Saccharomyces cerevisiae S288C: one gene and its partner. Each later gene encodes a partner of the first gene's protein in a complex. Each region holds a gene or a part of one and is shown on either strand. Other genes may lie near its edges. The genes, in order: CDC14 and SWI6. A codon is read from its position in the direction of its gene.

Region 1 (3,695 bases):
AGGATTTTCCAGTTCGCGTGGTCGTCATAGTTGGGCTCGAGTAAGCTGCTTGAGTAATTCTCCTTAGTGGTGTGTTCTTCTTGATCACGGGTGGTGCCAGTCGTGAGTGGGTGGTCCGACCCTACCTCTGTATTCGCATTATGCATCTTCGAAGCCACAATATGGAAGAGTTCGAGCAGTGATGATTTCTCCTTAACTGTAGGGTCTGATAGTGTCTTGTTATCAGCTTCTAGCCCAGCAGTGGAGGAAGAGCGCGATGGCGTTAGCGATAGTGATGATGATGATGGTGAAGTCTTTACTATAGCGGGGAGCTCATCGCTTTCGCTTTCGCCCTGTCCGGTAGTACTTCTGAAGAAGTCAATCTGACGAGCCAAATCTCGCAGCGGCTTGATGGCTGAAAGTAGTCGAACATTTTCTCGCTGACAGATGGGACACGCAGTTTGCTTGTTCGAAGTTTCCCTGCATAAATCATTGAATAGCGATTCAGATATACAGCAGCCACACGTAAGCACAGAGCAGTCTTTGACTATACCGTATTGCACATGTGATTCGTCAGTACCAGTTGCACCATCGAGTGATAGCCGTTGCGGTAGATAGAGGTCGTGTTCTATATCGTCGAGCACCCTCGCTATATCCGTCTGGCGGCCCCACTTTTGTCTATGAGAGTGCATGAACGCCTATCAGTTGTGTATTTCGTACCTATGTATGTGTGAGTGTGCGTGTGCTAAATTTTACGGGTATCTTTTCAGTGCTGATAAGGTAATCATTGATGACTACTGTAATGGTAATGTTAATAAGACGAATAACTCCTCCGCTTGAAAAAGGTGTGAAAATCAAAAGTGCGCCTCATGAAATAATGATAAAGGAATCTTTATATAGCAAAGTAATCAACAAAAACGACTCTCGGTAGCCAAGTTGGTTTAAGGCGCAAGACTGTAATTTACCACTACGAAATCTTGAGATCGGGCGTTCGACTCGCCCCCGGGAGATATTTTTTTCTGAAATTTTTTTGGCTTTATTTTTTCATTAATACACCTGTGTTAGTTATGATTGCCACTAGCTTATATACGTGACTTCTGTGACTTCTGTGACTACTGATGTGTTTTTAGTAGAATACAACTGTTTTTTTCTGTAATGCGTTTTCACATATTGGCACCAGAAAGTGTCGTTACTTTATAAAGCAAGCGACTAGAACAACAATCACACACACACACACACACACACACACACACACACACACACACACACACACACACACACACAAGCTATGAGCCTGATAACGTGAGTCATTCGTTTTTTAGCCGATAGTAGAGATATGCATTTGAAGGCCATTGCTATTGTGTCAATCAAGAAAGCTGTATCACTTTCAACGGGGAATGTACTTTTAGCACCATAAGTTTTTCTTCACTTGGTTCAAAGGTAAACAAATTGAAATTGAAACAATAATGTACCAAATATTTCCGATTCGTTCGAGGTATAATACGAAACAATTGCACAGAGGCTGGGACTACAAAGTACGCTTATAAAAAAAAAAAAAAAATGCGTAGGAGTGTATACCTCGACAACACGATCGAGTTCCTGCGAGGCAGAGTATATCTCGGTGCATATGATTACACGCCGGAAGATACTGATGAGCTGGTGTTTTTTACCGTGGAGGACGCAATCTTTTACAACAGTTTCCATTTGGATTTCGGTCCCATGAACATTGGACATCTATATCGTTTTGCCGTTATTTTCCATGAAATCTTGAATGACCCAGAAAATGCCAATAAAGCCGTTGTTTTCTATTCATCTGCATCGACCAGACAACGTGCTAACGCCGCATGTATGCTTTGCTGTTATATGATCCTCGTTCAGGCATGGACTCCGCATCAAGTGCTTCAGCCGTTGGCGCAAGTAGACCCTCCCTTCATGCCATTTAGAGATGCCGGTTATTCTAATGCGGATTTCGAAATCACAATTCAAGATGTGGTTTATGGCGTTTGGAGGGCTAAGGAAAAAGGCCTTATTGATTTGCATTCCTTCAATTTGGAGAGTTACGAGAAATACGAACACGTGGAGTTTGGAGACTTCAATGTACTCACCCCAGATTTTATTGCATTTGCGTCACCACAAGAGGACCATCCAAAGGGCTATCTCGCTACCAAATCTTCACATTTGAACCAGCCGTTTAAGTCAGTTCTGAATTTTTTCGCCAACAATAACGTCCAATTAGTGGTAAGGTTGAATTCTCATTTATATAATAAAAAGCATTTTGAAGACATTGGCATTCAACATTTGGATCTAATTTTCGAAGATGGTACATGTCCTGATCTTTCCATTGTAAAAAACTTTGTTGGTGCTGCTGAAACGATAATTAAAAGGGGAGGTAAAATTGCTGTGCACTGTAAGGCTGGGCTAGGTAGAACTGGTTGTTTAATTGGTGCTCACTTAATATACACGTATGGATTTACCGCTAACGAGTGTATTGGCTTCTTAAGGTTTATAAGGCCGGGAATGGTCGTTGGCCCTCAACAGCATTGGTTATATTTACACCAGAATGATTTTAGAGAATGGAAGTACACAACCAGAATTTCTTTGAAGCCTAGTGAGGCCATTGGCGGCTTATATCCCTTAATAAGTTTAGAAGAATACCGCTTACAAAAAAAGAAACTTAAAGACGACAAGAGGGTTGCGCAAAATAACATTGAAGGTGAATTAAGAGATTTAACCATGACGCCGCCATCCAACGGTCATGGGGCGCTTAGTGCCAGAAATTCGAGCCAACCTTCTACGGCGAATAATGGAAGTAATTCATTCAAGAGCTCAGCCGTCCCACAGACTTCGCCTGGTCAGCCGAGAAAGGGCCAAAACGGTTCTAATACTATAGAAGATATCAACAATAATCGTAATCCAACTTCCCATGCGAATAGGAAGGTAGTAATAGAAAGCAACAACTCAGATGACGAATCCATGCAGGATACCAACGGCACAAGTAATCATTATCCCAAAGTTTCGCGCAAGAAAAATGATATCTCCTCTGCTTCATCGTCCCGAATGGAAGATAACGAACCCAGCGCAACGAACATCAATAATGCCGCAGATGATACCATACTAAGACAACTATTGCCCAAGAATAGGAGAGTAACGTCAGGGAGAAGGACTACAAGCGCCGCCGGTGGTATAAGAAAAATAAGTGGCTCCATCAAGAAATAATTTATTTCATTTTTATATATATATATATCATATAATAAAAAAACTTACTAATAATAACCTTGAAAAGTTTTATGCCATTTTTCCAGTGTCCCTTCTCGCTGTCTTTTCGAAAGAGTCATATGTATACCGGCAATAGTAACTTGCCTGATTTATGCATAATGCCGTTGTATTTGCTAGCCAGTTTTCCACCGCTGTCTGTGGGTTGCGACCATGCTACCTGGTACCTAGGAATAACTTCACCGTAAACAATATTTTCTCTTGCAACGTCAATCAATTTGGTTGCGATACCCAACTTCCTTGCTGTCCTGCACACCCAAATTCTCGATATGCCAATCTTAAAATCGGGGTACACATTCTGTACCAATCTTCTAGAATCATAAACCATCCAACGTCCACGACTAGATGTTTTACCATTGCCCCCATAAAGGTTCTCTATAATTATTATTCCGACCGCCCTGTCATTTCTTATGTATACAAACGCTTTGCCTTTTTCTTCTGTG
Region 2 (5,083 bases), on another chromosome or scaffold:
GTCGACGCTTACGGTGGTGCCTCATCCGTCGGTGGTGGTGCCTTCTCCGGTAAGGACTACTCTAAGGTTGATCGTTCTGCCGCTTATGCCGCTAGATGGGTTGCCAAGTCCCTAGTTGCCGCTGGTTTATGTAAGAGAGTTCAAGTTCAATTTTCTTATGCCATCGGTATTGCGGAACCATTGTCCTTGCACGTTGACACCTATGGTACTGCGACCAAGTCTGACGAAGAAATTATCGACATTATCAGCAAGAACTTTGACTTGAGACCTGGTGTATTGGTCAAGGAGTTGGACTTAGCTAGACCAATCTACTTGCCAACCGCTTCTTATGGCCATTTCACAAACCAAGAATACCCATGGGAAAAGCCTAAGACTTTGAAGTTCTAAGCTTTTTTCCTTTTGGACTTTTTTCTGCCTTCAACCTCCCATGTTTTCATTTGCTCAACACAAGTCAACATGTACATTATACCGTATTTGATGCAGGGACGCAATACCATCATATTCTTGATATAGACTCATTTTTCTCAAATCAAATTTGTATCGATTTCATTTTGCATTATACAGGATTCCTTTTCCTTTCTAACATTTAATACGTAACTACTAATATTAATATATACCTCCTTCAACGGATCAACAAACCAAACTTTATCTTATTCAAATAGAATTTAACAGATCCAACGCCTTAGTTAACTCATCTTTGGCGGTGGGCAGGTCTTCATAATTCAATGCGCTTATGGCGTATTTGGCAAGTTTTTGAATTTGCTCTATTTTACTGGCCCTGTCCATAATTTTTGTCAACTCATCCTTTGTATACGATTTATGCTCTGCTGCAGCAGGTTCTGATGGTGCAGAAGGGCGCGTAAGATCCACTTCTTTCTTCACAACTTGTTGTTCGTCTTTTGTTATTGCATCTTCGTTCTTGTCGACGGTCTGTTCTTCTTCGTTTACGCTATCGGCATCATCAATAAATTCAGGTACCTCATCCACAGGCTCGTATGATGTTGTTTGGTCTTTTGGGGCTAGGCCTTCGACTTTATCATTATTATTGTTTTCCAAATCGCTTGTCTGGTGATCAACATCTTCATCCTTAATCTCCTCGCTATCATCCGCAAAATCTGCATAATCTAACGTTTTCTCGTCGCTGGAACCAATTTCACCCTTTGCCAATTTACTCAAATAAATTTTGCAATACTTAATTCGTTTTTGTAATGAATTTGTACTCGTTTCACTTATATTTTCCTTCCACAGGTGTAAAATGCATGAAAATAAATCAATACAACACCAAAGTGATCTTTTTAACATAACATCCCAGGGACCATCTTTTAGCTGTTTCAGTTTCTCGTTATACAACGACATTGTAAAATTTAGCATATAAATTTTGGCTTTTTCTTGATCATGTATTAGCGTGTTCATAACGTGTAAGCTTTTGTCACTGTCTTCTGCTTCACTCTCGCCGCCAATCTCCTTCTTAAACGCTTCAATAGTATCAAGAAGTTCTGTCGCTAGTGCGGTCATCTCTTGCGACCGATCTTCTTCACTCAGTATCAATTCCACCGCATATAACTGAAGATAGTATCCGATGATCCCTAACCCAACTTTGTCAAAATCCTTCGCTGTAGCGACAACCCTTGCAGCGTTACTAGCCATAGAATTTATTTAAAATGTGGACAATTAGTTTCTAAAAATTGAATCAAATAAAATAAGAAAGCTTATTGTTCCTTTTTTTGTCTTCATCTGGACCGTTTGGATAAGATCATTCACCAAATCTTAGTTTTTTTTTTTAGTTTCCTTCTCCAACGATTTCATAATAATAAAAAAAAACAACAAAAAACACGATTGAGAAACATCAATATGAACTAAGCAATAGCTAAAAAAAAAAGAATAATAAAGGGGAACACAGTATAATTCTCGAGAGGATGGCGTTGGAAGAAGTGGTACGATACTTAGGACCTCACAATGAGATCCCTTTGACACTCACTAGAGACTCGGAGACTGGCCATTTCCTCCTGAAACATTTTCTGCCCATTTTGCAGCAATATCATGACACGGGGAATATTAACGAGACCAACCCCGATAGTTTCCCCACTGATGAGGAAAGAAATAAATTACTGGCACATTATGGAATTGCTGTAAATACAGACGACCGAGGTGAGTTATGGATAGAGCTGGAAAAATGTTTACAATTATTAAACATGCTAAATTTATTCGGTTTGTTCCAGGATGCATTCGAATTTGAGGAGCCTGAAACAGATCAGGATGAAGAAGATCCCAGCCATTCGAAACTACCAGAAAACAAGACCAAAAGTGAAAATTCTAAGGATAATATCAGCTCAAAGAGGATTAATAATTTACAAGATATGAGCCTGGATTCTGATGCACACAGAGAATTAGGCTCTCCTTTAAAAAAACTAAAAATAGATACCTCTGTAATAGATGCTGAGAGTGACTCCACTCCGAATACTGCCAGAGGCAAGCCTAACGATGATATTAATAAGGGCCCTAGCGGCGACAATGAAAATAATGGCACTGATGACAATGACAGAACCGCTGGACCTATCATAACATTCACTCATGACCTAACTTCTGACTTTTTAAGCAGTCCACTGAAAATCATGAAAGCACTACCTTCTCCAGTTGTAAATGATAATGAACAGAAGATGAAACTAGAGGCATTCTTACAACGGTTGTTATTTCCAGAAATTCAAGAAATGCCTACATCCCTTAATAATGACAGCAGTAATAGAAATTCAGAAGGGGGGAGCTCAAACCAACAACAACAGCACGTATCATTTGATAGCCTTTTGCAAGAGGTAAACGACGCTTTTCCTAATACTCAATTAAATCTTAATATTCCTGTAGATGAGCATGGAAACACACCATTACATTGGCTGACTTCAATAGCAAACCTGGAATTAGTGAAACACCTGGTTAAGCATGGTTCAAACAGATTATATGGTGATAATATGGGGGAGTCATGCCTAGTGAAAGCTGTCAAATCAGTAAATAATTACGACTCTGGTACTTTTGAGGCACTTCTAGATTATTTATATCCATGTTTAATTTTGGAAGACTCAATGAATAGAACAATTTTGCACCATATCATTATTACGTCTGGTATGACTGGCTGTTCAGCAGCTGCGAAATATTATTTAGATATTTTAATGGGATGGATTGTCAAGAAACAAAATAGACCCATTCAAAGTGGTACTAACGAAAAAGAAAGCAAACCGAATGACAAAAATGGGGAAAGAAAGGACTCTATACTAGAAAATTTGGACCTGAAATGGATAATAGCAAACATGCTCAATGCGCAGGACTCTAATGGCGATACTTGCTTGAACATTGCAGCAAGATTGGGAAACATTTCAATAGTAGACGCTTTATTAGATTACGGTGCTGACCCATTTATTGCAAACAAATCAGGGTTGAGACCCGTGGATTTTGGGGCAGGTACTTCAAAATTACAAAATACGAACGGCGGTGACGAAAACTCGAAGATGGTCTCTAAGGGTGATTACGACGGTCAAAAAAATGGAAAGGCCAAAAAAATAAGGTCTCAACTGTTGAAAAACCCACCTGAAACAACTTCGTTAATTAATGATGTCCAAAATTTACTGAATTCAATCTCGAAAGATTATGAGAATGAAACAGTGCAATATAATGAGAAATTAGAAAAACTACACAAGGAATTGAACGAACAGCGAGAAGAATTAGCTAATTCTAGAGAACAACTAGCAAATGTGAAGCAATTGAAAGATGAATACTCACTAATGCAAGAGCAATTGACCAATTTAAAAGCAGGAATTGAAGAAGAAGAGGAAAGTTTTAGGGAAGAGAGCAAAAAGCTAGGAATAATTGCAGATGAAAGTTCAGGTATTGATTGGGACTCTAGCGAATATGATGCAGATGAACCCTTCAAAGTAGAGTTCCTTTCAGATTTCTTGGAGGATAAATTACAAAAGAATTATGAAGGCGATATTTCCAAACTATTAGAAGCGGAGTCGAAAGAGCAGATAATGGAACAGATACGAAATCAACTTCCCGCAGAAAAAATCCAATCGATGCTTCCACCAACGGTCTTATTGAAGGCAAGAATAAATGCATACAAGCGGAATGATAAACACCTAACCAATGTATTGGATACAATCAGCACCAAACAATCAGAATTAGAGAATAAATTTAGAAGAGTGTTATCTTTATGTTTGAAAATCGACGAAAATAAAGTTGACAATATGCTTGATGGTTTGTTACAGGCCATATCTTCTGAAGACCCACAAGACATTGACACTGACGAAATGCAAGATTTTTTAAAAAAGCATGCTTCATGAGGGCATGTGATTTCATTGCATTAACTTTTATGACTTTATTTGAAGTTATTTTTTTGTTTTAGCGCTTTATTTACTTTTATTTTACTACATAACTGTATTCTTACAAAATTTTTACGTACTCAGATGGGATATATAGGCACTTGATGTTTTATTTTCTTGTTCTTATCATATATCCGATGGAATAAAATGTTCTATTTTGCTGGCTTTTTCCAAAAATATTGTTTATGTGTCCTTCTACAAGATCTTAAGCCTGTCCTTCCACCTTTTAATGAACTCACCAAGTTTCTTCTCTCGTAATCATCATCGTTTTCTAAATCGTAGAAATACTCTTCGTCCAATGGTTTGCCGGCGGCGTCCTTACCATGACGGTAAATGACACCGACACATTTCGCGTCGCTCAAAATCGAACGTAATTCATCTCTTGAAAGCTCAGAAATTTGTGAGTTCACCTGCTGTAATTGGAATAATGGCGTCTGCTGGACGTTTGCAAAAGCTAGGTGATTGGTTAAAATATGCTGTAGATGCATAACATCAATATTTCTTCTAGATAGCTCATCCAAATTCTCTTTCACCGATTTTTTTGGCTTTGAAGGTAAGACCCTCTTGTTAAGTTTTGGTTTCTTCATAGTCATAGGATTTTTATCAGATGATAGTGAATCTTGTCTCAGGGTTTGTTCCTCGTGATCAACAGAGGAGACGGATGAAAGTGGGGACGATTTAGAATTTAGGAAGTGGTTTAGCATCCTTTCTGCAAC

What was found.
Region 2: the proteins of CDC14 (region 1) and SWI6 are in contact, whole or in part, in a crystal structure (PDB 5XW5), measured with the Saccharomyces cerevisiae proteins. Residues at the interface, in NP_116684.3 of Saccharomyces cerevisiae: Phe47 (codon at 1,678), Ala130 (codon at 1,927), Gly131 (codon at 1,930), Tyr132 (codon at 1,933), Ser133 (codon at 1,936), Glu171 (codon at 2,050), Val173 (codon at 2,056), Asp177 (codon at 2,068), Asp253 (codon at 2,296), Gly254 (codon at 2,299), Lys284 (codon at 2,389), Ala285 (codon at 2,392), Gly286 (codon at 2,395), Leu287 (codon at 2,398), Gly288 (codon at 2,401), Arg289 (codon at 2,404), Arg317 (codon at 2,488), Val322 (codon at 2,503); in NP_013283.1 of Saccharomyces cerevisiae: Glu157 (codon at 2,385), Leu158 (codon at 2,388), Gly159 (codon at 2,391), Ser160 (codon at 2,394), Pro161 (codon at 2,397), Leu162 (codon at 2,400), Lys163 (codon at 2,403).

Annotation. Positions count from the first base shown.
Region 1 is NC_001138.5:207,913-211,607, reverse strand, and holds CDC14 (phosphoprotein phosphatase CDC14), read left to right. Parts: upstream 1-1,539; coding exon 1,540-3,195; downstream 3,196-3,695. Other genes in the region: PTR3 (Ptr3p), read right to left, coding at 1-671; ECO1 (Eco1p), read right to left, coding at 3,311-3,695. UniProt on the Saccharomyces cerevisiae protein: Protein phosphatase which antagonizes mitotic cyclin-dependent kinase CDC28, the inactivation of which is essential for exit from mitosis. To access its substrates, is released from nucleolar sequestration during mitosis.
Region 2 is NC_001144.5:516,024-521,106, forward strand, and holds SWI6 (transcriptional regulator SWI6), read left to right. Parts: upstream 1-1,916; coding exon 1,917-4,328; downstream 4,329-5,083. Other genes in the region: methionine adenosyltransferase SAM1, read left to right, coding at 1-387; VTA1 (Vta1p), read right to left, coding at 655-1,647; TOS4 (Tos4p), read right to left, coding at 4,520-5,083. UniProt on the Saccharomyces cerevisiae protein: Part of a complex involved in cell-cycle-dependent transcription. SWI4 and SWI6 are required for formation of the cell-cycle box factor-DNA complex. The repeated element in the upstream region of HO (5'-CACGAAAA-3') is called the cell cycle box (CCB).